4 linked regions of the Arabidopsis thaliana genome follow. The protein of the gene in region 3 interacts with the protein of the main gene of each other region in a pairwise test. Each region holds a gene or a part of one and is shown on either strand. Other genes may lie near its edges.

The links.
Region 1: the proteins of CPK15 (region 3) and SPIK interact in a protein complementation assay, tested with the Arabidopsis thaliana proteins (one large-scale study listed by BioGRID).
Region 2: the proteins of CPK15 (region 3) and PLDGAMMA3 interact in a protein complementation assay, tested with the Arabidopsis thaliana proteins (one large-scale study listed by BioGRID).
Region 4: the proteins of CPK15 (region 3) and ARGOS interact in a protein complementation assay, tested with the Arabidopsis thaliana proteins (one large-scale study listed by BioGRID).

The regions. Positions count from the first base shown.
Region 1 is NC_003071.7:10,891,455-10,899,856, reverse strand, and holds SPIK (Shaker pollen inward K+ channel), read right to left. Parts: upstream 5,605-8,402; 5' UTR 5,255-5,604; coding exon 5,013-5,254; intron 4,933-5,012; coding exon 4,567-4,932; intron 4,487-4,566; coding exon 4,429-4,486; intron 4,332-4,428; coding exon 4,014-4,331; intron 3,917-4,013; coding exon 3,671-3,916; intron 3,586-3,670; coding exon 3,487-3,585; intron 3,410-3,486; coding exon 3,377-3,409; intron 3,255-3,376; coding exon 3,069-3,254; intron 2,981-3,068; coding exon 2,786-2,980; intron 2,691-2,785; coding exon 2,615-2,690; intron 2,519-2,614; coding exon 1,946-2,518; intron 1,763-1,945; coding exon 1,488-1,762; 3' UTR 1,185-1,487; downstream 1-1,184. Other genes in the region: AT2G25605 (DNA-directed RNA polymerase subunit beta), read right to left, coding at 174-316; AT2G25590 (Plant Tudor-like protein), read right to left, coding at 6,085-6,298, 6,415-6,556, 6,641-6,692, 7,505-7,594, 7,734-7,979, 8,161-8,402. UniProt on the Arabidopsis thaliana protein: Highly selective inward-rectifying potassium channel that could mediate potassium uptake in the pollen membrane. Plays an important role in pollen tube development.
Region 2 is NC_003075.7:7,120,594-7,129,139, forward strand, and holds PLDGAMMA3 (phospholipase D gamma 3), read right to left. Parts: upstream 5,725-8,546; 5' UTR 5,290-5,724; coding exon 4,306-5,289; intron 3,905-4,305; coding exon 3,788-3,904; intron 3,698-3,787; coding exon 3,503-3,697; intron 3,413-3,502; coding exon 3,164-3,412; intron 3,070-3,163; coding exon 3,001-3,069; intron 2,921-3,000; coding exon 2,773-2,920; intron 2,693-2,772; coding exon 2,544-2,692; intron 2,464-2,543; coding exon 2,266-2,463; intron 2,179-2,265; coding exon 1,981-2,178; intron 1,853-1,980; coding exon 1,559-1,852; 3' UTR 1,372-1,558; downstream 1-1,371. Other genes in the region: AT4G11845 (Interleukin-1 receptor-associated kinase 4 protein), read right to left, coding at 6,301-6,367, 6,458-6,543, 6,747-6,832, 6,931-7,039, 7,366-7,479. UniProt on the Arabidopsis thaliana protein: Hydrolyzes glycerol-phospholipids at the terminal phosphodiesteric bond to generate phosphatidic acids (PA).
Region 3 is NC_003075.7:11,638,180-11,645,365, reverse strand, and holds CPK15 (calcium-dependent protein kinase 15), read right to left. Parts: upstream 4,565-7,186; 5' UTR 4,520-4,564; coding exon 3,751-4,519; intron 3,390-3,750; coding exon 3,246-3,389; intron 3,161-3,245; coding exon 3,008-3,160; intron 2,910-3,007; coding exon 2,797-2,909; intron 2,716-2,796; coding exon 2,548-2,715; intron 2,466-2,547; coding exon 2,338-2,465; coding exon of another isoform or gene 2,334-2,337; exon of another isoform or gene 2,256-2,333; coding exon 2,156-2,255; intron 2,069-2,155; coding exon 1,988-2,068; coding exon of another isoform or gene 1,979-1,987; exon of another isoform or gene 1,909-1,978; coding exon 1,879-1,908; 3' UTR 1,604-1,878; downstream 1-1,603. Other genes in the region: AT4G21950 (uncharacterized protein), read right to left, coding at 761-925; AT4G21930 (senescence regulator (Protein of unknown function, DUF584)), read right to left, coding at 4,922-5,473; AT4G21926 (uncharacterized protein), read left to right, coding at 5,396-5,451, 5,601-5,650, 6,302-6,405.
Region 4 is NC_003074.8:22,127,060-22,132,278, forward strand, and holds ARGOS (auxin-regulated gene involved in organ size), read left to right. Parts: upstream 1-2,445; 5' UTR 2,446-2,981; coding exon 2,982-3,374; 3' UTR 3,375-3,413; downstream 3,414-5,219. Other genes in the region: AT3G59910 (Ankyrin repeat family protein), read right to left, coding at 3,720-4,517, 4,598-5,030. UniProt on the Arabidopsis thaliana protein: Promotes cell proliferation-dependent organ growth. Takes part in the AXR1-dependent auxin signaling pathway that requires ANT during organogenesis.

The sequences.
Region 1 (8,402 bases), on a different chromosome or scaffold from region 3:
TTTGCAAAATCGAATTTTTGATCATTTTAGTTTCTGGGAACCAGAATTCTACAAACCAATTGATGGACGCATTCGGATCTGTTCGTTTCCTAGCTAAAACCCAGTAACACCCAAAGCTTGAAACATATGAAAATCGAGGAAATTTGAGTTAAAAAGAGATTTTAAAGGCGTACCAATCGGCAGAGAGGAAATCGGGAACATCGGACGAAGAAGCTCGCACGAGATTACGATTAAGCCTACCGTAGCCATTGAAATGCTTGACATTTGCAGACAAGGAGGAAGGTGGAGATGGAAGCACGAGAGACCCAAACGACATCGTTCGAATCGGTTCTGATGATCTTTTGAGTTGCTCTCGACGGCAGTGGTCTTTCAGTTTTAATATCTACCTTCCGATACAACGGAGCCGAGAGATAGACACGGAATCAAACCAGAAAACAGTTTTAAAATGCTAACCGAGCTAGATTTTAAAATTTGAAGCCGGTTAAGATATTATCTGCACCACAAATCACACAACACAACACTCTCTAGCCTCTAGGACTAGGAGTTGACCGGTTCTCCCACAACCGGTCGCACTCTTTTAACATCAATCGCAAAACCGTTTTGAACCGCTTTTATCTTTTATATCACTTTTTTTTTCCAACATCAAATTCTCATCAACCTTAAACCATTGTCTAATTTGACAAGGGTTTTAATTCAACTAGACATAAAATACAACTTCACCTCTTTAGGTTGATTGAGCAGATTGCGGATGTTTCGTATTGGTCAGAGAGATGGGAGCAGATTAAGCTCTCTAGAGTCTGATTCAAATATTACCTTCTTGCATTTGAAGCATGAAATAATAATAATATTATAGTGTGTGTTGTCTCTAACTCTATCTCAATCATTGTGCTCATTTTCGGTAATGCTTTGGCTCCCAAGTCCCATCAATATCACTTTACCATCATGGATCTAAACAAAAATGAAAGATGAGATGATAATTCATCTCAGAAATAGGATAAGTCACCTAGAGAGGATTTAAGCTTGATTGGAAAAGATGAGTGAGGAGTTACTCTCAAATCTCGACCTCGCACAAAAGTTATAAATTTTAACACTTGCTTCTTCTTAGAGACTTAGAGAAGAAGATTGTCTAGACGTTTAAGAAAGGACCTTTATCCTTGTATGCTTTCTGAAAAAAACAAGATTGTTTCCATACTTCTTGTAGATTTCGATGTTAATATCATGAGGTTGTTAGAGAGTTCTTTTAACAGAAAATAGTCAACAGGATATATATATATATACATGTGAAAAATAGTAAGCAGTGAATATATACACAAAAGCAAAAAAAAAAAACCTAAAAGATATTTCAATCCCGGAGTTGATTGGGGCTTACGGTTTCCCCTAATATTAGCATCATATCACCACCATAAAGCTTGACTGTGGTGGTTTGCGAGTTTGCGTTAAGACAAATAGTTTTCATTACTCAAAATCGAAAGAGAGTTGCGTGTGAATCAAGGATCCCTTGATAGAAGGAGAAAATCGCCATCTCTGATAAGAGTGATGTCGTCAATTTCAGCTCCTTCTCTCGTAAGTACTTTAGTTGGGACGAATCCCATCTTATTTTCACCAATTTTCAATAGCTCTTCCATAGAATTTGGTAACAAAACAACTTTTCCACCAGTTTCACCGTTTTCCGGCGAACTTATCGTCACTCTCTCCGGATAAATCATACTACCTCCTCCTCCAGGAACCGCTGGACTTCTTGGAACTTCTCCTCCATCATCAGCTGGAAAAAAACCAGAAATGAAAACCAAATTTGTAAATTTGTAAGGAACAGAACAATGTAATGAACGTTGTGAATTGTATATAAGAATGACTATTGTGATGTGAAAAGTTCTGAAAATTATGGTTACGTGACAAGAAAGCAACGAGTATCTAGAGAGCAGATGGAGAGGTGAGGTGGTTTTACCGCTATTTGCAGCTGAAATGATTCCGAAGAGCGAGTTTCTGAAGTTATTGAGTTTCCGTTTCTGAGAAACAACAACCTGACCCCCGTCTAAGACGAGTTCTCCTGAATGCATTGTAGGCTCACTGCTATACTTCATTAATGGCTTCCCTGTCACAGGACTCTGAGGTATTCCAGGGATAGGTTTCGGTTTTTTCTCCACAGGCCTGTGATTATGAAACAAGGTTTTGATTTCTTCATTCCCTTGATGATCGGCAAGACCACGAGGAGTCCATCCGTAAGAATCCGGCCAGTCCAAGTCAGCACCTTGGTCTAGTAAGAACTTCACAATCTCCAAGTGTCCTTCTGACACTGCTCTGTGTAAAGCTGTGGTTCCGTTTCCATCAGGGAGTGTGACGTCGCCGCCATATTTGATGATGTCTTTGAGTGCGTCTAAGCAGTTTTTCTCCACGGCTAAGCCAGAGAAATAGCTCACTGAGTCTAAGCTTAGCTTTGCTCCATTCTCTGCAAGGAGTTTAGCAATTTCTCTATGTCTTCCTATGATTGCTTCCCACAAGGGTACATTGCCTTCGGAATCTGTAAACAATGTACGAGCCACCGATAATTTAGTACTACATGATCCTATCATCCTAAGCTAATTGACCTAGTGAAACATTATTTTTTACTACTTACCTCTAATGTTAGGATCTGCTCCATGTTCGAGAAGTAAAACGACGCAATAATGGCTTCCCTTTGATGCTGCTATATGCTGAGATATTCAAAGAAGAAACATAGAGAGTGAGCAAATTTGGTTTAGGCATTAAAAGGAGGATGATGGTATATACAAAGGAAATCCGGGCTTACCAGCGCAGTTCGCCCGTCCTTATCCATTTCATTAGGGCTTGAGCCTCGTCTTAGTAACTGATGCAGCAATAAATCATCTCCTCTGGCTGCAGCAAAGCACAAGCTGAGAGGTAAATCCATTTTCCCTTGAGCCAACATGTGTTCTGTATCAGCCAAAACGCCTTTCATCACTGGATCTTCTGAGTCTTTTAAATGCTGCATGAACCACAACATATCTGTTATGGAACTGGTCCTGTGTGTCAACAGGTTGAAACAAACTGTACTATTCAGAGTTATTACAAACCTGAAGAAGATTATTCATGATTATTGCTCCATCTCCTACATTTGCCTGAACAAGATTTAAGAGTACTGTACGGTTCAGACGAAGCAACTGACTCAATCGCTTGGTACGAACAGTAAACAGCTGCGGTCTGTAACATAGTACCCCAACTTCACCAAAAACATGTCCTCTCTGTGCTTCACTAACTACCTGTAAAGAAACACATACACAAAAACATTATCAAATATGTTTTGGTTCTCCAATTGCAACAAAGTTAAAGAAGAACACAATCATATCTTAAAAAGAAACGGTATAATAAAAGCTAGACTTGCCTGCTCCACTCCATTTACACGTGCAATTATGTCCTGAATGACATAGGAATGTGTCAGGAATAATACATGATGATAAAGGAATGTGTCAGGAATGTACGAAAAACACTTACAACAGCTCCGGTCACCAATATGTAGAAATCTGTTGGGGCTTCATTTTGCAAAATCACATCTTCTTTGGGAGGAAAATACTCTGCTTTCATTTCCGTGACCTACAGGACACCGTAAGTTAAGACTTAATGTGAATAAAGTGACCACTTTTAGCATGCAGGACTTCTTGCGTTATGGGAAACATACCAACTGGAAAAGAAGATCATTGGATATTCCATGGAACAAGTAAATTTTGTCAACAACTTCATAGAACAGATAATGTGATATGCTGGACCGAATAGCTTTGGGAAGAGAATCGATTATTTCTTGCTGCTGTAAGCCTTCTGAATCAGTTCTGTACCTCAAACACAAATGAGCAACCATCTGATCTTGTAACCGCACTGGCAGATTGTTCCTCTGACCAAACCCTGATGCGGCTTGGATGGTATCTCTCTAAAATAATGCAAATGCTTAAGACTCATGAAACTTCACTGAGACCAGACTAATTTTCAGAGAAGTGCAGTTAACAGTACCGGTACATAGAACTTACAAATTTTCTGGTGCGGCCGGTCACATGAACCACCAAGTTGGTCATATTACCAATTATATATGCTGACAGTCCAAGATTAAAAACCATGTAGAAAAGAATGAAAGTCATCTCTCTTGAGTTAACACCATGTATATCACCATAACCAGTTGTGGAGAAAGTAGTTATGGACCAATACATTGCCGTGTTATACCGCACTGCAATAGGAGACTCTTTCCAATTTTCATCGGTTAATGCCATAAACGTCTTGGATGGATCTGGATAATGTGCAGCAATGGAATAGAGGAAACAAGCACCACAATGAATCACAAAAAGAGTAACCTGCATTACCAAATCAAATACTGTAAATTCACAGCTAAAAAACTGTTCATTTGAAACCAAAAAGAGTGTAAAAAACAAGTAGACAATAGCTACTTACAAGGAGAAGCTTCGAGCAGCGAACCCAAAAGTAACTGTATTTCCTGTCTTTCTCTAACCTGAAAAGAAGACATCAATATTATACTCAGCTGGAATTTAAACGTTTTGGCTGGAACGATAAACCGGCCAAAGAACTCACCTGGCAAAACAATTACTGACCCTACGAAGACGCCATAAACGTAGCATACTGAAAATACCATATCCCTGAATACTCTCATGAAGCAAGCTCCCAAAAATTTCGTAAGGAAATGTGGAAACCACGTCGAAAATCAGCCAAGTCGACGCATATCTCCAAGCTATTCTCTTTGGATCATCGACAAGAAGATAAGTTACCTTGTCCAAGAAGGCAACAAAGAATGTCAAGACTATATCAACAGCGAAAAACCCGTTGACAATGTTATCGAGAATACTGAGAGGTGGTCTTGGCTTTTGCAGAAACCCAAATTCAAAAGGTGATGCCCAAGCTGTGTAGAGCACCAAAAACACCAAAAACGTCTCCCACGCTCTGAAAAATAATGTTTTACCTCAGCTAAACCCTAATTTAGCGATTAGATTAAAACAGAGTCAAAATTTGAAAAAACGGACCTGTAACGAGGATCAAAAGGAGAGACGATGAAGCGAGGGAGAATGACGTCACGAGAGGAACGATTGTTGGCTCCAAGAGAAGGAAGAAGGCCTTTGCTAAGGCTATACTGACTCATCGTCCCGTCGCGAGATAAATGGTCAGCAACATCATCCTCCGCATCTTTGGTTCTTCCTCCTCCTCTGCCTCCGCCTCCTTCGCCGTCGTCTTTCACACCCCAAAACCATACCTTCTTCTTCTCCATGCTTCAGATCCCTCTCTCTTTCTTTTTCCAAAATCAAAATCCCTTGCGGATAAACACGCAAGGTTTTTTTTTTTTTTTCTCCGAATTCGCCGGTTTCGAATTTCCTTTTATATCCTTTTTTCTGTTACGTTTGTTTCTTTCTTTTTTGTTGTGGGCCCCAACAGGTAACTATTTTCCCTCCTTTTTCTGCTTTTGTAGCCACAAAAATAGCAAGTATATTTCGGTTCATTGGTCTTTTAGTGCTCATAGAAACTTTCAAAATTAACAAATTGGCATGTTTTTTTCCGTTTTGCTCTGGGAACTGAATATTAACTATAGTTTTTTGGTTAATTAGGCTTTTGTTTGTCCCCCAAACATACTAATATTACCAATACTTAAAAACATCATACAAGTTTCTGTTGTTCAATAATTGGCAAAATTCAAATAGGAGGACTACAATCCAAAAACGCTTGGTAAATCGAGAAAGAAGGAGGAGGTTGGTTTATGCGCAAATTGGTATTTAGATAATCATTTCCTGGAATCAATCTACTCTGGTACTTGGAAAGCTTAATTGTGACAGTTTTGGTAACTGTGTTAGTTACATGTTTGCGTCTGTTGGCTTTGAATAAAATCAATAACGCAACCCAAGTAACTTTTTCTGCTACTGCTTTTCTGTTTGGTTTCTCTGATGCTTTTAAGTTGCAAAGGAATTTGATTTTATGAAGTTCTGGTGAAACTCAAGCTAGTGACATGTAGAAGCCACAAATCAACTTCAAGTCAAGAATAAAATAATATAAGTAAAACAGGTGGTTCCAAATAATGTCAATCTTACATAGAACACATTGAAAACATTATAAGTTAATGCAGATCATAATGTTGTTCATAAGTTTTGTAACAACCATAAAATTTTGAATTAACATGAGTTCTAAAGAATCAGAAATATTCAATTCGATTATTTTTCTTAGTGTAGAGTATAAGCGAATATAAAACCGATAGTGATGGCATAAGAACATCGCAATTCGCAAGGCTTCTTCTTCCTCTCTGAGTCTTTTCAATTTCTTTAAGCTTGAGACATAGGGAAAAAGTTGGATTTGACAAGCGAGCAGCTAGACACGTTTGATTTATGCAGAGGTCTATACACACCGATCATAATATTTATGCTAACGTTTGAATCCCCGCACCTCGGTAATTCAGCTTGAAATGTCATAGCCTTGATTTCATAAAAATTGAGTACTTTTCTGTAGATTTTGATGACCAGGCCAACTGTACATATACCACCAACAAACAAGCATGGACAGTTCCACAATCTACTGGTCACATTTGCTGAAAGAGTAAAAGTATTCCACACAACCTCAATACTGTCTCAGATAGACACAGTTCATAAAGAACTTTCAACCTAATACTTACCAATCGTCGGCAAACTTATCCAACCTGCAGACTGTAAATGATTATCCTTCGGCTAGGAACAGTTCACAGCCTGTGTAAAGAGGGTATATATATCCAAGAACACCTGAAACAGATCAGTTATGTACAGCCAAAAAGAAAACACAGCACAATTTAAATTATGAATTTTGAGGAAGAAGGGGCATTGTGTTTTGCACCATTCAGTTAACCTCATGCATCAGAGTAAGATCTCTAGAAGCAAGCAAGATCTGCAGTCACCCAACATGGCTACAGTTTTCCTGAAAAATGTAAGGTAAGTTCAATAATCCATCACTGATGAGGAGAAGACAAATGACTCGACTTATCCAGAAGCTTAAACACAATAAACTAAAGTATATATATGAAGAAAAGACATGACTCATCTTAGAACACAGATACTGTAACTTTTGTTTAAGTTTAATCATCCGGAAAGTACAACAAAGAAAATTAGACTATAAGAAGAAAACATCACAATGAGGATTTGAAATTTTCAGTCAGAGTTATTTCCCTTCTGCTGTCTATACAATCATTTTAACAATCCTCCGGTAACAGAACAATATACAACAGTTGATTCCACATTGCAGGGAAGTATGGCCAACACCTGAAGATAAGACTGTCAAGGATCAAAAAGATATAATAGATACTAACAAAATTAACTGTGGGTACCGGCAGACTTGAGATTTCTTAGCTCCATCAAATGTTCATCATTTGATATATTAAGAGAAAGTCGGAGATCAGTTAGTGATGCTTCCTGATCCCAACTTAGGGAGCCAGAAGCAAATAACTTCGTCAGTGTACTACGGTAAGTGTAAAGTTCAGGCCTACATGATCTCACCACTGATCCATTACCTGATAATGAATGTTTTCGCCTAGCTTCATCTCTGCATCCAGATGCTTCTTTTGAAGATTCAGCATCACTACTACAAGAGTCGGCACCATCTAGAAAAGAAGTTGGTTTGTCACTCTCATCATAACTAATAGGGCTACAACTACCAACTGAGGATGCATCAGTATCATAACAACTATTAGAGACTGAGTTTCCTGTACCAACACATTCACTAAACCTTTTTGATCTTACCCTGACCATTTGACGGAAACCACTTTTATTCTCGTTACACGAAGCTTTCACGTACAATTCAACACCCCTACGTTCAGAACTATCATTATATACCTTCTGTGCTGAAGAAGAAGCAAACCGGTGCTGGTGTCCTTCTTCCTCCAATGATCGTATCTTCTTAGGACTTCTAGTGCATGATTCAGCAGACTCCGCCCAATCACATGGTGAAGGTCTCTTCAACACTCTTAAAGAAGCAACACTAGTCTCCTGTGGCCACACAGTTCAGAAGGGGGTTCACATTCTGGTGTTCATCTGATCCAGTCAGCGTGGAGGACTTCACAGAACAAGATACCTGAAAGATGATTATAAGACAGTTAGACATTAGCATCATTGTTCAAACATCACTTTAAAACACAGTACCATTAAATAAATAAGTAAAAAAACTTACCTTTCCAATCATAACCCATCTTTCATCTTGCCAAGATTGTCTAGCCCTGAGGTAAACTTTGTGAACCGTGAGTTCTGCTTTAGCACCAAGTAACCGAACAACATAATATCTTCCAGATAACACCTCCAAGACAGTAGCAGTTTTCCATGAAATATTATTATCAAGAACCTCAACCAATTCACCAGCTTCCCATCTATCAACATCTACTTGCGGAGGACACGGCCTAATTATCTTCCTTGGAA
Region 2 (8,546 bases), 4.5 Mb from region 3:
ATCGAAAAGACACATGAATGAAACCTATCAAAAGATCTATTTAGAATAAAAACAGAGCTTGTAAAACTATTCATTGATAAACTACATTTCAAACTGGATCGCAAAATATTCACCTTTACTAGTAACTGACATAGCCTTGAATTAGTGTGACACATTCCAATCAAATAAAAACTATAAATCTGCAACCTTTCTTATTCAACTGAGCAATAGAAGATGATCAATTATGAATTTCTAAACCCTAATTTCTCGAACAAAATCAGAAAACTAGTAATCAATCCAATAATTATATCCACCACGATCCAGTGAAAGTCAAACAAATGCAAATCAGAGAGAGAGAGAGAATACATACCCGAATAGAAACCTAGACGCAAAGGGAGCAGTGGCGGCGGAAGAGAAGGAAGATGAGTGAAGACTGTGCTTGGATTGAGATTTCTTCAGTAGATCTAAAACTATAGCTATTCTCGCCATTACTAACAAACCCAAGCTTGATTCGATCGAATACACAAATCTCTCTCTCTATGCCTCTTAATCTCAATTGAAGTAATCTTCCTCGTTTCTACATCGGAGACTCGTCCGAGTGGTTCCGATTAAACTCCAAATCGCCTCCGGTGTAGCCTTTGAAGAGAAACGCGTGAAAGAGAGAGAGAAACACGGGAGTCGATTTTTATTTTCTCTTTATATATTTTCCCTTCACCCACTCACACAACGACACGTCACCCGTCTCTTAGAGATTCTTTTGGCAAACAGAAGACTTTTACCTGTTGCTCTGGATGATTTTTGGTCTGAGATTCAGAATGGGAAAGTTTCTTGAGGAAGGAAGCAAGATTGTTCTAACCACATCAAGTGAAATTGTCTCCACAGTAGCAAAGGATGAAAAAATCTACCAAATGAAGAATGTTGGGAGCTGATCTCTAGATTTCCTTTTGGAAATATAATCAACCAAGAACTAGAAGGAATTGGGAAAAGGATTGCAGAACAGTGTAAGGTCTTGAACGAGCCATTGCATCAAAGAATTTCTCAAGCTACACTAACAGTATCCTTCCAGTACTTAAACCAAGCTATGACTCTCTTCCTCCTCAACTTAAGCGATGCTTTGCCCTCTGCTCAATTACTGCTGCTATGGATGGCAATAGACCTCTTATACCAACCAAGGAGCAGCACAAGATTGGAAAAATTACCTTGGTGATTTAGTTTGCTCAAATCTTTTTTTCAGAGATTGGATATCACCATGACAAGCTTTGTGATGCATGATCTTATGAATGATTTGGCAAAAGCTCTTTCAGGATGACATTTTTCATTTTCTACAAGCCAATGTGATATTGTAATCATATAGTACTAAAGATATGACAACATTACTAAATTAAATCATATAGTAAAAATCCACAACACACACTTTGATAGATCAATTGAAATATTGTAATAAATAGATTTACAGCTCATAAATTTGAAAAACTAGACCCTAAAGGCACACTTTCAATCAGATCACACTCAGATAGATTTCTTGAAGTGAAGGAAATAAAGAACAAATGTTGATCACTACAAGCCTACAAGGTAAGTTTCATATGGTGAGGTTTTCTTCTACTACAAGGAACGATCCTATGATCTTGCCACCGAGATCTGGGAATGTCTCGTATCCAGGAAGAGAACTCACTTTGCCTGTTCTATCAACTTGAACTGGATACTTAAGAAGATGACCTGGCATCTCTGTGACTTCTTCCGCTGCATATTGTCTCCAATTCAGCTCACTCAATTGCCTAACTCGTCTCACGCATTCCATGTTCTCTGGTTCCTCGAATTCTTGCTCTAGAAACCCTAGATGTTCTGCCCATAACGACATTCTATATCCAAAGATCTGCAAGAAATTGAGACAAACCAGGGTTCAGACATGTTAAAGAGAACATACATTGGTGGGTTTCTAGATTTTCGTCTTAGAATGCTATCCTAGATTGAGAAGTAGAAGTCTCTGAAAGTCTTATTTACCTGACCACGAGGACGAGAACCTTTCTTAGCCCATGAATGGTGTGGCTGATACCCTCCCATAGCGATTTCAGTGTCTCTAGTTCCTTCCAAGGATCTCTGGTTGATATTCGCGGAACCAATTAAGACAAACTCATCATCCACTACCATACCTTTGGAATGAACATATATCATGAATCTCCGACTCTTCAAAGCTTGTACCTAGATTGGTTTGTCGTTTTAATCAGTAAGCGAACCCATTAAGGCAAAATCGAAGATTTCAAAAGAAGACATTTAATATATGTATACCTGTGCAGCATTTAGCTGAGGTGGCTTCCGAGGACTATTATATACGCTAACAGTTCCATCAGGAACCTCTCTGGTTCCAACCTCTCTGGTTCCAAGACAGAAAAAGTTCAAAAAGTCTTGTGGCTCAAGCTGGCCATCAAGACCAACTTCCACAAGTGCCTTGTAGATGGTTTGATACATCATTTGCATGGTTTTGTGCTGCAGAGGTTGTGAAAAATTCCGGTAAAAAGAAGGTGAGATCGGGTTGTTTTTAGCAAAGAATCAAAAAATTATTTTACCTGCCAGTAGAGAATTCTTTGAATAGGATTACTTGTTGGAGCACCTTCTGGCCACATTGGAATGACAATATAAGCAGCAAACTTTTCCCTTGCTCTAATTTTGTTAGCAATCTTCAGCGCGATTTCCATCGGGATTAGATTATTCGCACCTGCAATGCCAAAACTCCTTGTTTACATATTGTACGCATCGATTACTAAGCTTTCCTTCAAAAGCTTTAAAGTTTCTTACCCAAGTTCTTGTTTGAATCCCAATTGAATGATGATCCAAGAAAATATTGGTTTTCAATGTAAATGAAGTGCTGAGCAGATCGTATGGCTTTAACATAAGCTGCATGTATGCTCATATCTATGAGAATGTTCTTCCCACATAGAAGGTTCTGTTCATGAATACATAATCAGTCGGAGATAGCAACATGATGACAAACAAAAACAGCTCAGAGTTGTGGTGCTATCTTACTCTTCCAGTAGCTTCCTTTGGGTCCTTTGGAAACCCTTTAACTGAACTCGAATCAATTGAACGGAAAACCTAAAGATTAATATCATTGGAGAAAAAATGAGATTCTTTTTGTCACCACCACAAATAACAATAACTAGCAAAAAAATTAGACTTGCTAAATTACCTGAACATGCCAAGACTCTGGATCATTATCATTAGCAGAAGAAGCTTCGGAAAGTCCCATTATGTCAGGAATTCTGTCTAACCTAAGCAAAGAATCATCAGAAGAAGTTCTTAGTCTCCCAATTCCGCGAGGTTTTGAAGCCTTCATCCAGCGTTCCTCAAAATTAGCAAGCACATCATATGCAGCTGGACCATCAATCTTGCTGTGCAGATCATGCCATGGTTCTCTTGGTCCATCATCCGCAGTAGTCTAATAAGAAAAACAGAATTTACATGGATCAAGAATAGCGGATTCTAATTCCAAAATTGCAACCAAGCAGGTTTTTTCTTAAATGATTACCACAAAATTTGGGTTATGGAAGTCATCTTTATGGATTGTCTTTAATGTCCTGAAGAGAGGATGCTTGGGAGTATCAAATCGTCCGTTGCACAAGTCTAGCCCTCCAACAAATGCTACAATCTTTCTTCGGTTCTGAGCTGCTTCAGCATCTACAATCATAGTTTTCTGATGATGCGTGTAGATTGTTTCAACTTCCTGATCATCATAATGACACTCAAATTTTAGACGCTGAAGCTATACACACAAGAGTTTACACAGTAATGAAGTAACTAATGAGCATCTTACAGATTTTTTTATGAAGCTGTGACCTTTCCCTCCATATCTAGGACAAAGGAGAACTTGCACCGATGAGTGCTTGAAAAAACGGCGAGTCTCCTCATCGCTTGTGTTCATAAGTCCTTTCTACATGCAACAAAACACCAGCTTTTAATTAAATAGATAGAAGGATTGTAGCTAAGTTAGTATAATTATCTAATTGAAGCAAACTCATGCTTTCCAATAAGATAAACAGAAAAAGGGTCAGAACTGAAACAATAGAGGAAAGTATGAAATGCAACTGAAACAACCAAATATGTGACTATGTGAGAAGTTAAGAACAACACATTAGACCATTCAAAACTGTGTACAAACAGAGAGGCACTCCATAGAATTATTTAAGTGATAAGCTATAAATCAAAATGGAGAAACAAAACAGAGAGGCACTCCATAAAATTATATATATATATATATACATGTTTGATTTTATGGGTAAGCAATAATAGAATGTCTTAATCAGAAAAAAACAGAGTTATGTAGATTCTTACTGTACTGAATCCCAAAAGACTCCTTGAAGTTGGATCATCCCACACCAAAACCAACACTCTAACACCTTCTTGAGATTTGACTTTAAGCAACTCTCCTAATGTACCTTGGGTCGGATCATTGTTACGACGAACCAGCCTAACCGGATGGAAAACTGACCAACCTGTGATATAAATCAACCTCCTTGCCCGTCGTATCGCATCAGCCATATCTTCCCAGCATTTTCCATGTCTATACTGAATCCCACCATCAAGATGTACACTCGGAAGAGTACCGTCATCAACATGAGCATCCTGATAAAGAGTAACCCTACCGCCTTTCCTTAAAGGGAAGTATGTACCGGGAACTCCTACACATTCAACACCAAAACCAACACCCTTTTGGTAAAGTCTCATTCTTTCCATTGGAATATACTGAATAGACAGACTCAACACAGCACCTTGTTTACAAGGCTTTCCTCTACTGTTAAGTATCGGAAACAGCCCTTCGATTCTATTCCCGGAACACAACTGCTCGGTTGGGATTTCAACAGCTCCAATGATCTGTGATCCAATAATATCACTGTCTTTCACAACAAAGTGAACTTTCGCAGCACTATGAGCAACTGGTACATCAAAATGCTGCATCCACACAGGATTCTCACTATTGCTAATAACAAAAGTTCTACCAATCACAGCACCAGAGATAGAGACAGTAACATAAGGATCACTTGTGATCTTAGAAGAATTCTCACCATCCACTTTATGATTCCTCCGACCTAACCCAAAAAACATCCCACCAACAAGGGTGTTATGGAAACCATCCATGTTAGGAAGATGTTTAGCTTCCTTAACCCAAATGTCTAAGTTACCATGTAATAATTCAACCCTCAAAGAGCCACTACTTGTATCAAACGGCACGAGTTGCTTGTCAAGCCACTGGCCAAACTCGTTGCTTGACCCTCCTCCCATAGACATAGTCTCGTTATAAACTGGATGATACGCCATGAAAAACAAAACTCAAAACGCAAAAGTAGGAAACTCTTAGTTGTCAGATCAAATCTCAAGCATAACCCAGTTCAGTGAGACAAAAGATCGATCACTTGGTGCTTGGTGGGGAATAATCGAGAGATCAAGATTCAACAAAAGGATAAAACTTTGAGATAATACAAACTCAGAGCAAATCAATGAATAAATGTGGATCTAAAAATATGGGCAAATTCAAATTAAAGTTCAGGTTTTTGTGAAGAAGAAGGTGAGAGGGAGCGAAGGAAAACGTTGACTTGAAACGGAAGAATCGGAAAATTTCAAGGATTTTTGGCTGCCGTTGTGGAATCGTCTAACTTTAGCCATTAATGACACATATATAAGATGTTTCATCTTTACTTAAACACAAATGCCAAATAAACTATTTGTGTTTTAGTAACGACGACTAAGAAAGAAGACTTCCCCACTTTGGTTTTTAGCTGCTCACGAAACTCTTTCTCTCTGGTCCCTCTTTTGATGTAACTTCAATTTGATTGACATAATTATTAAATTAAATCATATAGTAGTGTAATTAATAAATAAAGCATGAAATTTTCTTTAAATGAAATCAGTTACAAGCTTTAAATTTTTTTTTTGCTACTATGTCTTTTTGGATCCCAGATTAGACATGTAAACTAAGAGCATCTCTAATGGTTAACCTTGGATCTTAACAATTATTTCTATTAAAGTTTTGTTATTTCTAAGCTAAGAACAAAATGAGAGTATCTTATAAAAATAGTCCTCCAATGGTTAAGGTTCATAAGGGACAAAAATCAAATTTTTGTATTTAGATGTCTTTCAATACAAGGAACCATACAAACTTTTTTCATCCTTTTCGGCCCATGAATCATTCCAGTTATGTGTAGCCCTATGATGACTGAATGTCTAGCCCTATGATGGCTCTTGGCATGTAATTAAAGAGGTATGTTGCATTTAGAGATATTACCTGAGTGTAGCAATCGATTGCGGTTGTAAAATCTTTGGATCGGAAAGCTAAGTCCCCTTGCTTCTTTGAAAAGAGAGATTCCTGCATCTGGGTTGTCCACATTTGAAACGAGAGCTGCAGAAGAAGGTAAATAAAATCATATTCAAAACAAGTCCCTAATGCAAAAGACTAAGTAGTAAGCGAGAGGAAGGAATAGATTAACACCTCAATGGCAATTCCTTGTATCCAATCTTACTAAGTATTTCCTGTATGGCTGTAAGATCCATTCTTAAGCAGTATTTCCTGTATGGCTGTAAGATTCACTCTTAAGCATGCATCATCACCAAAGGATGTCTGAGAAAGAATGAGGCAGGAAAAACGATGATGATCATCATTTAGATTTTAGTAAGGACTGAACTAGAGATTCCTTCCAAGAACTATCCAGCAAGAAACAAAGAGCCAGGTCCTACATTACATCTAAAGTTTATATATCTTCTATTAGTAGAGAACTTACATGGCTCGGTGGAATATGTTTTCCACTAATGAGATCGAGCAAAACGGTTCCAAAACTGAAAACATAATACACTCTCTGGTGTAACTCTACCTGACACAAGATGAAGAAAGTGGATTTAGCTTTGGGAACTTTGTGCCCTGAAATATTTTGGACATATATAAACATGAAGCAGAGAGAGTTTTACCCGTTAGCAAATTTCTCTGTAGGAGTAAATGCCAAGTTAGTGCTATATAACTCTTCCCATCTCTGCTACTTTTCATGAGTCCAAAGCAAGACAACCTGGGATTCCCATCCTAAAAACCGATGAAAGATAAACAAAATTTTACGACTTCAAATACAGATCACTCAGAGAGATAAAGAAACATTGAATCAATATATTCACCAAAATAAATGCCAGCATTACAGAGCTTGATTAAGTAAGGTTCATGCTTAAGCAGGAAAAGGAGAACGTTCAAACACAAACCATCACCCAAATCTATCGTTAACTACCAGACTCACTAAAATTAATTCCAATTGACAAGATCTAAGAAAACCCAGTTTCGAAATTTGATGGTTTCAATTCCAATCATCAATCTCGGCTAAAAGGAACTGAAAAAAATGAAAACAGAGAGATACGTACCATGGGAAATAGATTGGAGCATACTCTCCGATTTGAAATCGTCGAGGGTCTCCACCGACGTTGAAATGAATATAACGACAGATCGGATCCGACGCATATCTCCTCATAATTCATCGGATCGAGTGATTTCGCGTTGAAGGTCGACAAAAAGAGAGAGACGATGAAATGGGGAAACAAACAAAATTTGTCACGTGAGTACTTTTTTTTTTGGGTTTTGTCATTATAATCCCACCAATGGTGTATCGACACGTCATCGCCTCTTAACATACCAAATAACTCTAACCTAAAGACACACACACCTGGTTGCACACAAAAAAAAAAAGACACACACTTCTTAGTTCTTATAAAGGAACAAAACTTGTAAATAGGGATATATGTCATGACCAAAAAGATATTGTATAAAAGATAATTTTTATTCAATTTTTTTTTTTTTTTTTTTGATCTGTTGATTTAGGTTGGAATGCAGAATTGTGGTGAATTCAACACCATCTCTCAAATCTTTTAGAGATAATATAGATAGATCAGAGAAGATAGAAAGGAAAAAAGATGGTGTGACGCGTTGAATGCTCCATGGCCACTGCAAGAAAATGTAATAACACTTTCAGAAAATGGGGATGTAAGTAAAAAAAATTCGGAAAAATGTCTGCAAACTTATGAATCTACTCATGATCAAATGGAAGAAGAAAATCTCAAGAATCTTGACATTATTATCATTTGCTGACAAATTGCATAGAGAAGAGCAAGTCAACAAATCCTTATCTGCTTCCCTATTCTAATAATTGTATTGAGTTTTTCCTGTCTGACTTGTTGCAACTCCTTGGCTCCAACAAGTTACGAGGGAAAACATAGCGAACTCCTTCCAGTAGTTACTACTTAAACTAAGCTATGACTCTCTTCCTCCTCAACTTAAGCGATGCTTTGACCTCTGCTCAGTATTCCCCAAGGGCCATGTTTTCGATAGGGAGGAATTATTGCAGTAGACCTCTTATACCAACCAAGGAGCAGCAGAAGATTGGAAATGATTACCTGGTGATTTAGTTTGCTCAATCTTTTTTTTCATGACAAGCTTTGTGATGCATGATCTTATGAATGATTTAGCAAAAGCTGTTTCAGGATGACATTTTTCATTTTCTACAAGCCAATGTGATATTGTAATCATATAGTACTAAAGATATGACAAC
Region 3 (7,186 bases):
TGTTTCGTTTAATGTTCAATCAGTGAAAAAGCTTCAACAACTTTAATTAATTTGATCTATGTTACACGGAAATGCATCAACACTGAAATTTTAGAGTTCCCTGGAACATTCAAGAAAAAAGAAAGGAATAATGTCACTCCATCTTTAGTTAGAGACGGAAAAAAAGAACTCATTTTTTCTTGATGATCATCTTCATGCTAATTAAAGCGGAAATTGTATAAAATCAAACGAAACTAAACTAAATTAATTCCATAATATTTATAATGGTAATGATGTTTATATGATAATTGTTTTATCGTTGACAAAAAACAAATTATGTTTTTATGATTTAATACAAACTTTTAATGATGGACCAAGCCAGTAAGGCGTACCTAGGTCATACGTTACTACATTTGGGTTCAATATTTTGACTTTGTCCATGAGATTTAATGTGTCTTTGCCAACGGAATGAAGCCGATCGAAGATAAAACTTTGATCTCCTTGCTGTAAAATTGCATGTATGAACTCATTAATTTTGATGTTGCGACATTTACTTTGATCACCACTTCCATGAAAGTGATTTATCTTCCTTGTTTATTTCTTTAGAAGAAAATTGATATAGCGATTGTTCCCAGTCTCATGATCATAAAGAGTGGTGGAGCCATAAATGACTTTTCAACTACATGACAAACACTGATAGTTACAGTGATCTATTTTCAATGAGACAAAACTTCCACGAAGCTCTCTTGCTAGGATCAACGTTCTCAGTCAATATATAGAGTCAACGTTTTGTGTCATCCGAGAATGTATCCTTATTACCGTAAGCGTGCATTGACACATCCCCCCTACAACCTAGATCCATGAGCTCTGAGTTGATCTTCTCTTTAACTAAACAAGGATCCAGACCATTAGGGATGGGTAACTCCCCATGTCCCAAAAGATGCATGCGTCAGCATCTGCCAGGTTTCATTATAATTACGAGACGGAATTGAAAAAAAAGCAGATCCATTATAATTAAGGGATTTACTAAGGCAGATCGACGGTTAGATATACGCTGGTTAACTAATGACGGATCGATCAGATGAAAGCTAATCGAGATCATAGACAAACAATTTCGACAAAGAGAGAAAGATCTTACTTGAATATTCTTCGACCGGATCATAGGACATGGTTTCGTCCGCAGCGGATGAGATACTTTGTGAATTTAGGGTTTAGTATCTATAAATTTTATGTAAATCGAACAGTTAACCTTATGTGTATATGAGCATTTTCTTATTTTCAATAGATTTTTTTTTTTATAACTTTCCATAAGTACTAGGGTTTTGTATAACGTAAAGTATGGTTCAAAAAGTTATAAATAGACTAGGAAAATATGATCACACATGAGTAGTTTGGTCTTTTGCCCACTTAGATCATATAAACATGGAGCCAAAATTCCAACCGACCAAAAAACTTCATGCAGTTAGCGAGTTTTGGTTGAAACATGACGAAATCTCTTTAGTTTTCCCCAAAGAGGGACACCTTGGGAATGTGAGAATCGACGGTTACGTTGTTAATAAATTGCCGAAAGAATTTTTTTTGGGAGGCTTATGGGGATCACGGTATCACAATTCATTTGGATCCAGAAGGTGAATTCTTTTTCTTAAAACCCACTTTTCTCTTTATACATACATTTATATATGTATATAATCTACATCTCTGAAATATTTTCCAAGTGATGAAAGTATGAGATATAACATGATGTTACTACTATACTACAACTTCTTTATTGGGCACACATGTATAACTCCGAAAGTAATTTGCTGGTACTCTAAAGTAACCAAAACTTTGGACAAGACATATCAGATAAGAGAAAGAAATTAAAGGCCACTTGTTTTTATTGGACAACACAACTAGTATCTAGTTTAAGTCAGCAACTCTTTTGCACGGCTGTAAAAAATGTTGGATATCTAATTAATTTTTAAGTTCCTCTATCAAGGCTTCTCGATTTATCTATCAGTCATTGGACTGGAAGAATTTTCCCTTGTTGTGGCAGTGTGATACCACTTCTCATCATCGCACAAAATTCTTCATAGTTTATTCTTCCATCCTGCAAAAGAGACCCATTAATCTCAATCTTGGCTTAAGACTTGTTCATAACCTTTTTGATGCTGTGTAGAGGGAAAACAAAACTTACGTTATCTGTATCGACTTCCGCTATGACTTCTTTGATGCTAGCTTCATCTCCCATACCATACTCTTTCATGGCTGACTCCAACTCATCCATTGTGATAAACCTGTGTTAAGAAAAATCCAAATTTGTTTCTTAAAGTAGCGTCAAGTCTATATTTACCTTGTTCCTCAAGGGACTAAACTTACCCGCTGTTGTCTTTGTCGAAGTATTGGAAGGCTTTGAATACGTGTTCATCTCGATCAAATCTGTATCTATGCATCGTTGCTGAGATAAATTCGATGTAGTCAATTGTTCCATTACCATCTACATCAGCCTGAAACATATATAAAATAAAAGTCTTTTGTTAGAATAATAAGTAACATAAGAAGCAGAGCAAATAGGATGGCAATACTTACGGCTTCCATGAGTTGCTTCACTTCAGCTTCAGTGAGTTTAGAGCCAAGTTTAGCTAGCCCGTTTTTCAGTTCTTCATAAGTGATTGTGCCGCTTTTGTCAGTATCCATATTCGCAAACATGGTTTTAAGACCTTTAATTTCCTCTTCCGAGAGACTCTCTGCAATAACCTGCAAAACAGATCAGAAACAGAACCAATGATCAGGGAATATAGAAGAAAATGCTACTTCTAGATAGAAATTTGTTTTTACCTTTAGAGCTAGCTTTTTAAGCTTATTCATTGCTCGGAATTGCTTCATCCGAGATAAAACAGCACTATCAATAGGCTTGTCCGGTGCTTCTCCTCCTCTGATCCAAGGATGTTCTGAAAAAACAACACCACAAGGATCACTACAGATTAGTAAAGCACTGAAAAGTACGTCAACTACAAAACCGCACTTAGAGAGACCAATGTGACTTTACCAAGAGCTTGTGCCGCTGAGATTCGTTGCTTAGGGTCCTTAGTAAGCAACTTCCTCACAAGATCTTTAGCACTCTCAGATATAGAAGGCCATGGTTGGCTATCAAAATCAATTTCTCCCTTTATAATCTCATTAAATATCCCCTTCTCAGTTTCTACAATGTAACCACAACAACAACACAAATAAACAACATAATTAAAAGGATAAACCAAATCAAAGAATTGGTCAGATTTTATTACCAGACCAAAAAGGAGGCACACCACAAAGCAAGATGTATAGAATAATCCCTGCACTCCAAATATCGATTTCTTTTCCATAACTTCTTCTTAATACTTCAGGAGCAACATAGTAAGCACTTCCTACTATATCCCTATAAACTTTCCCTGCAATTTTTGTTTTACGGTTTAGAAACAAAACACATTAAGCATATGAACACAAGATCATCAACTAACTAACTAAACTGACATAATTTGACAATAAGGAAAGGAAAAGAACACACAAGTTCTATAATAATCCATTGACACACATTCTCAAGTTCACACAAAACTAGCAAAACCTCTGATTTCAAGCTTACCACTATCTACTAAATCACTAAATGAAACAAGATTCTTAAGATACAGACTATTCTTAACAAAATCTATATCCACAATATAACTCCAACATTCATCAGAATCTTAAGATATCTAAAACATTCGCATATATATACTAAAAAGCAGAACAAGAGATATGATCACACAAACTCACCTTCTTCAATGAACACAGACAATCCAAAATCAGTAGCTTTAAGCATAGCATTCTCATCAGTACTAGCGAGCAGAAAATTCTCAGGCTTGAGATCACGATGAATCACTCCCATGAAATGACAAATCTGAACAACATTCAAAACCGATCTAATAACACCAGCAGCTGCTTTCTCAGAGTAATGTCCTTGAGCTATAATCCTATCGAACAATTCACTACCACCACACAACTCCATCACCAAATGTATCGATTGTCTATCTTCATAAGCACCTTTGATCTCAACAATGTTCTCTTGTCCAGACAAATACTGCATTATCTGAATCTCTCTCTTCACATCATCTATGTCTTGCTTTCTCGTTAGTTTCCTCTTGAGTATTGATTTGCAAGCGTATGTGTTGCCTGTTGAATTCTCTTTGCAAGTGTAGGTTATACCAAATTGGCCTCGACCTAATTCTTTACCTAACGTGTAAAGTTTCCTTATTTCTTCAAAGGGTTTGCCTAGAATTGTCTCTGTTTCTCTAAAAACGATTGGTTTCAATGGTTGTGTTAGAACGTGCTTCTTTTCGATTTGCTGATTAACGGGTTTGGATTCTTGTTGGTGATGATGATTTGATTGGGTTGTTGTCGGAATTTGAGGAGAAGGAGGTTTCTGAGGCTTGAGAACATCACGAGAGACATGGTTTTCAGGTTGATTTGTCGGAATTGAGCTCTGTACGCTGCCATTGATGATATCACTCTCTGTGTTTCGGTGTTTGCTGCTAAAGCAACCCATTTTTAGGTTTTTTTTAATAGAATTTCTTGTGTTCTCGGTTAGAGGAGAAGTAAGTCCGATTGGGAAATTTATGTTTTCTCACGAGTTTTTTTTTATTACCATTTATGTCCCGCCGACATTAACGGTTTTAATTTAATTTTTACACGGAAATATTCCATTTTCAGCTATCTTAAATTCTTGATTATTCTAATCAAAGCTAGAGTTTAAGAGAAAGACCGTTGAATTAATTTTTTTGATATTGAATTTGGTTGATCAATGTTAAATTACATGTAGAATAGACGAGTGATTTTAAATAAATGATGATTACACTAGTTATTGTATAGTGCTTAATTAATTACTTCAACTCTATGGACAAATCATATACTACAATCAAATATTAATGATCAAATTAATTACGTAAAATTAACCATAAAACCCGGTTTGGCTCCACACGGCGTCTCTGACCCGTCTCATGTCACGTCCTTTTAACGTTCTTCCCACGCCCAAAAACACGGACGAACCACCGTCACCGTTACGGCTACGCGCGGCCACGTATTCATGAGGCGGTACCATCGCACTCTCCCAATCACAATCCGCCACGTCAGCATTATCATTATCGTTATTATTATTATGCATTGACTTGACGGACTCCACCTTTAGGATCTTGCTCCAGTCAGGAACTTTCACCGGCGCAGAAGTCGCCACGTGTCTCTTCCTCTGTCCATCACTCGGAACGGTCAGGTCACTCACGCGTCCTCCCTTCCGTCTCCATTCACTGCCACTGGCCTCGAGAGAGCGTGCGTTCCACGCACCTAGTTCCTTTGGTTCGTCAGGCTCGACCACCGACCAGACATCCTCTTCCATGAGCTCCAGCTCAAAGGTAGTTTCTCCGTCCACATGATGGTCATCGGACTGCTGATGGCTCCCAAGAAACCTCTCGCTTCGACTAATCGGTAAGCTCCGACCTTTGCCCATATCTCTCTTGGTTACCTAAGAAAATTGTATACCCGCTGTGATTTAAATCGTAAATTACGTTTATTCACCTAGTTATCAAAATTAATACTTTTTCGTTGGGTTTTTCAAAATATATTTGGAAGTGAAGGTGGGGGATGAGGATGAGCATGTGTGTGTGTGAATATATATACACTAAAGGTGAATAGGTATTGCTTTTTGTGTGTGGTTTTACTCAGTTATGTTCGGTAAGATCAGAAGAAGATGTCATAGTCCACGTAAAAGAACCATTTAGATAACGACGCACTACTATTTTGTATTTCTTTCAGCATTTTAGACGAGAGCTAGTAACTTCAGACTTATTTTTTCCCATTCTAAAAGTAATTTCAATCATATACAATGTGATGTCTTACTTGCCGACGTACCATCATGCATTCTAACAACATTTCTACAGTAGCTTCAATATAGATTTGTGAGACACACGATGATTAATTTTGATAAGTAAGGAATTTTATATCAAATCTATATTAATCCATATAGTCCGTGAAACTTCTGATATTCTTGTCATTTAAAACCCTCATTCACAGTATTGAAGTATAACTAAAATCATGGTACCATTTAGAGATTTGTGCACGTCCTAGTATGTACAATAGTCGTTAAGCTTAGCCAAGCATACGTGAAATATATGAATGGCAAATGCTTTGAGTTTACATGAAAAAAAGATTTGAAATGAGAAACTATAGTTTATTCCCCCGAATTTAGTTTTTGGTATTTTTGTATGTATCCGAAAGAGATGGTGCAGATTCGACAAAATTACATAAACATATAATTGGCTTATTTCATTCTCTGTAGCTGAAGGTGGGGTCTATATATATCTCCGCATGGGAAAGCACACAAGATATGTCGCAGTTCAGCTGTTCGACACGTGTTCACTCATTGCAAGCAGGTCCAACTAATTTTGTCTATTAACGTTGACACGTGGTCTAATCTGAACCCATCAATAGGCAGATTGAGACCGGACTCGACGAGGGTGTTGTTGGATTGGAGAGTGAATGGCTAACGATGGAGACCGACGAACTAAACTAGCAAAGTCTACATGTGGTCCATGATTGTTCTGTCCTTTCCTTCTTTTTAACTTTGCCTCAATTATTAGTGTTTTTATTAATCAATTGATTACTCAAACTCTTATCGTTTTTCCACTATTCATATTCGAATTCATTACATAATCTTATACCATAAACACGTGACATGCATGTCCCATACTCCATTGTCCAAGTGATTGATATGTAATAATTTATTAAGCCATTAACAAATGAAATATGATTGATTGGATTTTATCAGTTCATGTGTGTCAAATCTCTCATATATTAAGACGAACTTTCTCAAAAAAAATATTTCAAATTTTAAGAAAACCATGTGTCAACTAACTTGTCATGAGAAGATAAATAAATTTCGGTAAATCTAGTTCTAATCCTATAAGATGTAAAGAAAGTATAAAAATTAGTCAAATTTTGATTGTCTATTAGTGAGATAGAAAATATTATGAGCAAAATCTGCATGTATACACGGATAGTTTATCTAGTATTAGAATTTAAAAATACTCAATTCCTTTTGTAAGCATGAAGTCCTGAACAGTTTATTGACTTATTCTTATTTGTTTAGTTCATTTTTTTCCTGGTCGATTCGTATTTGTTTAGTTCAATGTTTGGTATATAACGATTTTTTCTCTTTGGGGGA
Region 4 (5,219 bases), on a different chromosome or scaffold from region 3:
TAAGTATACCTATTCTTGTCTTTGTCACTAAGACATACAAACTTATGATACTCTGAACCTAATCATACTCCTAAATTTTGGAAACCAAATTATGAACACTTTTCAATTAACTTGTTTCATGATAACATCACTCACGAAAACGACCATTAATCCTATTAGACCAACCACAATAAGAGATGCTTGTCGGGGAAAGAATTTCAAATAATTTGGGTTAAATTTCCACAATAACAAAATAATTTGTATCAAAGGGGATTAAAAAAAACAAAAAAAAAAACAACAAACAAAATAATTTGTAATCTTTTTTTTTAAGCAAACAAAAAAGGGGATTAAAGAGTCGTACGAGGAATATTAATTAGGCAAGTTGGTTTGGTCGAGACTCGAGAGATCATGCATTGAATCAAAGGCAAAGAGCCACGTGACGTTTACATGTGGTTCGATCCTCAGTGTCTCATCGATCGCCTTTCTCCTTACAAATCAACCAAATTATACTGTAGTAATCTTTTTCTCAAATTATACTGTAGTAATCTTTTTCTCAAATTATACTTAGTATAATAATGGAATAATATTTCACAAGATAATAATCGAATAATATTATCAAATCTAAAAAAGCTGACCAAAACAAAAATCTTTAAAATTCGCGAACGTTATGAAACTGAGCATATGGACCTTGTTATTGAGATTATTGTAATGCATCAAGTGTCTAAGAATTAGACCAAAACATATGTCTATGCATATTGACTGTCGAAAATCAATTAAATTAGAAGTAGGGTATATAAAACAAGAAGAAGCAATATTTAAACATGACTGACTTATTAGTAAGACAGAGGGAATAATATTATGATAATACTTTTTTTTCTTGAACTTTTTGATACAGGTCCACTGGACACCAATCTAAATGTGTGCGGTGTTCAAGGCAATAATCATGCATGGGTTGCCATATATACACACCTACATCTTAACTTTCCACCATTATTTACTCATCTAGTCTTCAATAAACAAATTCCATTACTAATTAAAAACGTACAAATAGAGATGTTTAATCGTAATACTGTATATCTATCCAAGAACAAACACACAAGTGAACTGAATTTTAAACTGATTAATTCTTTTGTTTCCAAAGAACTTAAAAGGAAGTACTTTTATTTAAATAAAAAATAAATCTTAAACCGCACCAAATAAGTTTTGGTTACTAGTGTATACATTCAGTGAACATTTTTATGAACCCATATTTTAGTAAAAGTATTCTCTTGATTGTAGAGACAAACACTAAACACAAATAAATTGATTTTTTTAGTTGAGCTTATGCTGAGAAGATCCATTTGACAATTTTCTTTCCTTTTTTTGGTCAACGATTCAAGGAGATCCATTTTCTCATCCCTAAATATACGATTTTCGTATCTGTAGAGTAGGAGTAGAAACTAGCGGATCTTTCGATATAAACATTCTAAATTATTAATTTAGGGTTTGTCATCCATGCAAAAAACTTTGTTGGTACACGTCAAATAGTTTAATATCTGAAGCTGCAGTCTTCGTATATTGTTAATTTGGCCTAATTAAAGTAATGCTGCACAATTAATGTGGATAACTAGTGTTGTAGTATTGGTAATCTATCAATTCTCCCAAACTACTCATCGGCTTTTTTGTATCTAAAGGCCAGGAAAAAAACTAATAAAACCACTTGACGTTGTTTCTAAAGGAAATGGCCTATATGTTTCTCAATTCATTGAACCATGAATTATATTTATGGGATTAACTATATTTATATATTAAAAGTAACAAGTGATTTCCGACTGAGTTACTAGCGAAGTCTATTTGCTTTAATTCATCATTCTGTGAGAATTCATCCTCTGGCGATATAAACATCTTGGCTTTATTAAAAACCATCCTCTCATCAAGACTTCACATGCAAAGCGTGTTGTCACGTTACTATGTCCGATCTCCATATACACGTAAATATATAAAAATAGCATCGTGAATTAATTTGAAAAACATTCCTAGCTATTTAACTTGGCTTTATATATAGAAATATGAGAGCATATACATATATTGGCCCAACATTTCCTGGTAGAACAAGCGCATTCACCATATGAAGTGCTTCGAGAAGAACAACACTATGGGTCCTTATTTATCCATAAACATCGACAAAATTATTGGTAGGTACGTTAATAAAAATAATTTCCTCATCGCATCAAATATTTGATTATAAAATTTTAAAAATCAACCTGTATATTAATAACTGGATGATTCAAAATAAACTAGAAAATTATTTTCTTAAAAATTTATAGAATGGTAAAAAGATGGTTTTAAAACTCATTTATTTAAATACTACTTACATATTCAGATCAGAGGAGATTGTAGCTTACGTCATATGTTATATAAGTAAAAGAAATGGTAGAAAAAGTAAGAGAAAAGAAGACCAGGGGAGAAGAACCTTGTGATTGTGGAGGAAGACTAGGCCACACGAAATTCAAATCTTTCAAATTCAGCAACTTGCTTCTCCTCACATTTGTCAGCCCCTTTATATAATAAACGTTCCTCTTTTTCGTCTTTTCAACATATCAGAAAATCCCTAAATTCACTGAACCCTCTTCTCTCTCTTTCTCCCCCCATATCTTCTGATTCTCCTCCAACTCCTTTATTAATAAATTCTCCTCTTTCATTGCTACTTGTCTTCCTCATTTCCCTACTAGTACTTGTTTCACACAGTTTCTTGATCCAACCAAAACCAATACACAAAGCTTCTCAAACTCCTTCACCTCAAAGCTTCTTCCTTTACATCTGAATCGTTGAGTTAACTCGGATTTGTTCTGCATCCTCTGTTTCTGAATCGTGGGCCATCCTTATTTTGTCTCGAATTCTTCACCAATTGCTTCGATCAAGCTGCATTGGTTAACCAGTTGCCCTAAAGATCAGATCTTTGAGCAAAATTTTGTCACTGATCTTCTAAATCCAAACCAGACACAGCAAAACAACCTCTGTAGATGATTCGAGAAATCTCAAACTTACAAAAAGATATTATAAACATTCAAGACAGTTATTCGAACAACCGAGTCATGGACGTCGGAAGAAACAACCGGAAAAACATGAGCTTTCGAAGTTCGCCGGAGAAAAGCAAGCAAGAGTTACGGCGGAGTTTCTCGGCGCAGAAAAGGATGATGATCCCGGCGAATTATTTCAGTTTAGAGTCTCTGTTCCTATTGGTTGGTCTAACGGCATCTCTGTTAATACTTCCGTTAGTTTTGCCGCCGTTACCTCCGCCTCCGTTTATGCTGCTATTGGTTCCCATTGGGATTATGGTTTTACTCGTCGTTCTTGCCTTCATGCCTTCTTCTCATTCTAATGCTAATACAGATGTAACTTGCAATTTCATGTAAATCTGAAATTTATTATATGATGATCTTAATTAATCTTAGGGTTCTTAATCCAATGAAATTGATATACAATATAAATGTAAGTTATAAATATTACATTAAATTATCATAATATATATATGTGAGAATACTTCAACGCACAATAAGAGAAATGGAGGAGAAGAGACTGACATAATATAGAAGCATCATAAGAAGAAATTATACAAAAAAAAAAAAAAAACCTCACTTCGTCATCTCAAACCCAAATCCCAATATCCGTTAATTTAAATCGTAGTATTTATTTGCTTATTTTCAACTATTCGTAGAAATTAGAAAACCAGTGAAGCCCAAAAGCAGAATCCATTTGTTTCAATCGAAAATGGCGGTAAGGTGATGCTCCAAAACCGCCATAAGGTTACGAGTCTGGCTTACTTCCACAACTGCAACAGCACAGCCTTGAAGCTGTCTCACTGCTTCTACAAGCTGTCCTCTTAGCCTCTGAGACAGTAACCGACCGTCCGCTTTCATGCACTCTCTGTACAGCGGCATGTACGCTATTGCTACTCTTAGCGGTGCAGGAAGGTCTCTTAAGGATATCGCTGACTCCCCTTTTTTCAAAACTCTCATGAAATTCATGAAATCGTCATGGCTTTCTCTCATTCCTTTCTCAAAAGCTGACTCCGACCAGTGTTCTTGGAGAAACGATTTTAGATCTGAAGGAACGGATTCGTCTTCTGATGACCTTGCGATGCTGTCTGCCACTGAGTATGTAGCCGTGGAATCTCCTAAGAAGTCTGATTTGAGAAGAAACTCTACTCCTTGGAGAGACCCTCCGCTTCTTTCTCCTGCTGCTTTGAGGATTTCGATGCTGAGAGCGGTTAAGACAGGTGGTGGAACACGAGGGAGGAGATAAGCAGCTACCTCGACTTGGCAACTTGAAGTGGCCGCTGTTAGAGCCAAGCAAAGCTCCATGTCACGGCAACCTCTTTTCACAAACCATTGAACAACTTGCATGCAACCTCTCTCTGCTGCTCTCATTAAGGGACCCAAGAAGGCAATGGCATTACCTTCTTCCACTAGGCACTTCATTGTTCCGATTTTACAATAATGCGAGGCAAAACCAAGAGCTAAGTCCACATCAACATCTAAGCTGTTCCTTTGGGCAATCTGCTCCAGGAAATACAATATTTGAGCACGAAAAGAGACCTTCTATAAGTCTAGAAGCAATCAAAAGAATGGAAGCTTACCTGCAATAAGACGCGGACAAGTTCTGTACTACCAAAACGTGAAGCTTCAAGGAAACATTGGTTCACATTATCTGCGCCACCTTCAACAAGCATACCGAGCAGTCCCTGTATAACAGTAGCTGACATCCCAGATGCCCAGCCAGGATCAAACGAGTTGGAGAACAGAGTGAGCGGGAAACAAGCTGCATCAAAGGCCTCAGTGAAGTCTCTTCCTGAGAGATGGTTTCCTGCTAGATCTAAGAACATCTTGAAAGCAGAAAGTTGTAGTTCAATTTCAGCAGCCGAATTTTGGCTAACTCTATCCTTTGCCCCCTGGCATCGGGAGTGGAAACCTATACATTTGAGAGCCCATTCAGTGAACTTCTGAACTTTGGCACCAGCCTCTGCTTTTAGAATCTCATCCCCGTTGCACTCTTGGAGACGCTCATGCAACCTATACATCATGTACAAACCAAATATGAACTCACATGTTAAACAAACTGATTTAAAGTTTTCTTAAGCGGAATTGTTTTGTCTATGACATTTAGTAACATCAGCGCCCACAAATACTAGCAGTGTCATTTGATTATCCTGACAACCAATTACATACAGATATAACCAAACACTATAACCAGTAAGGAAA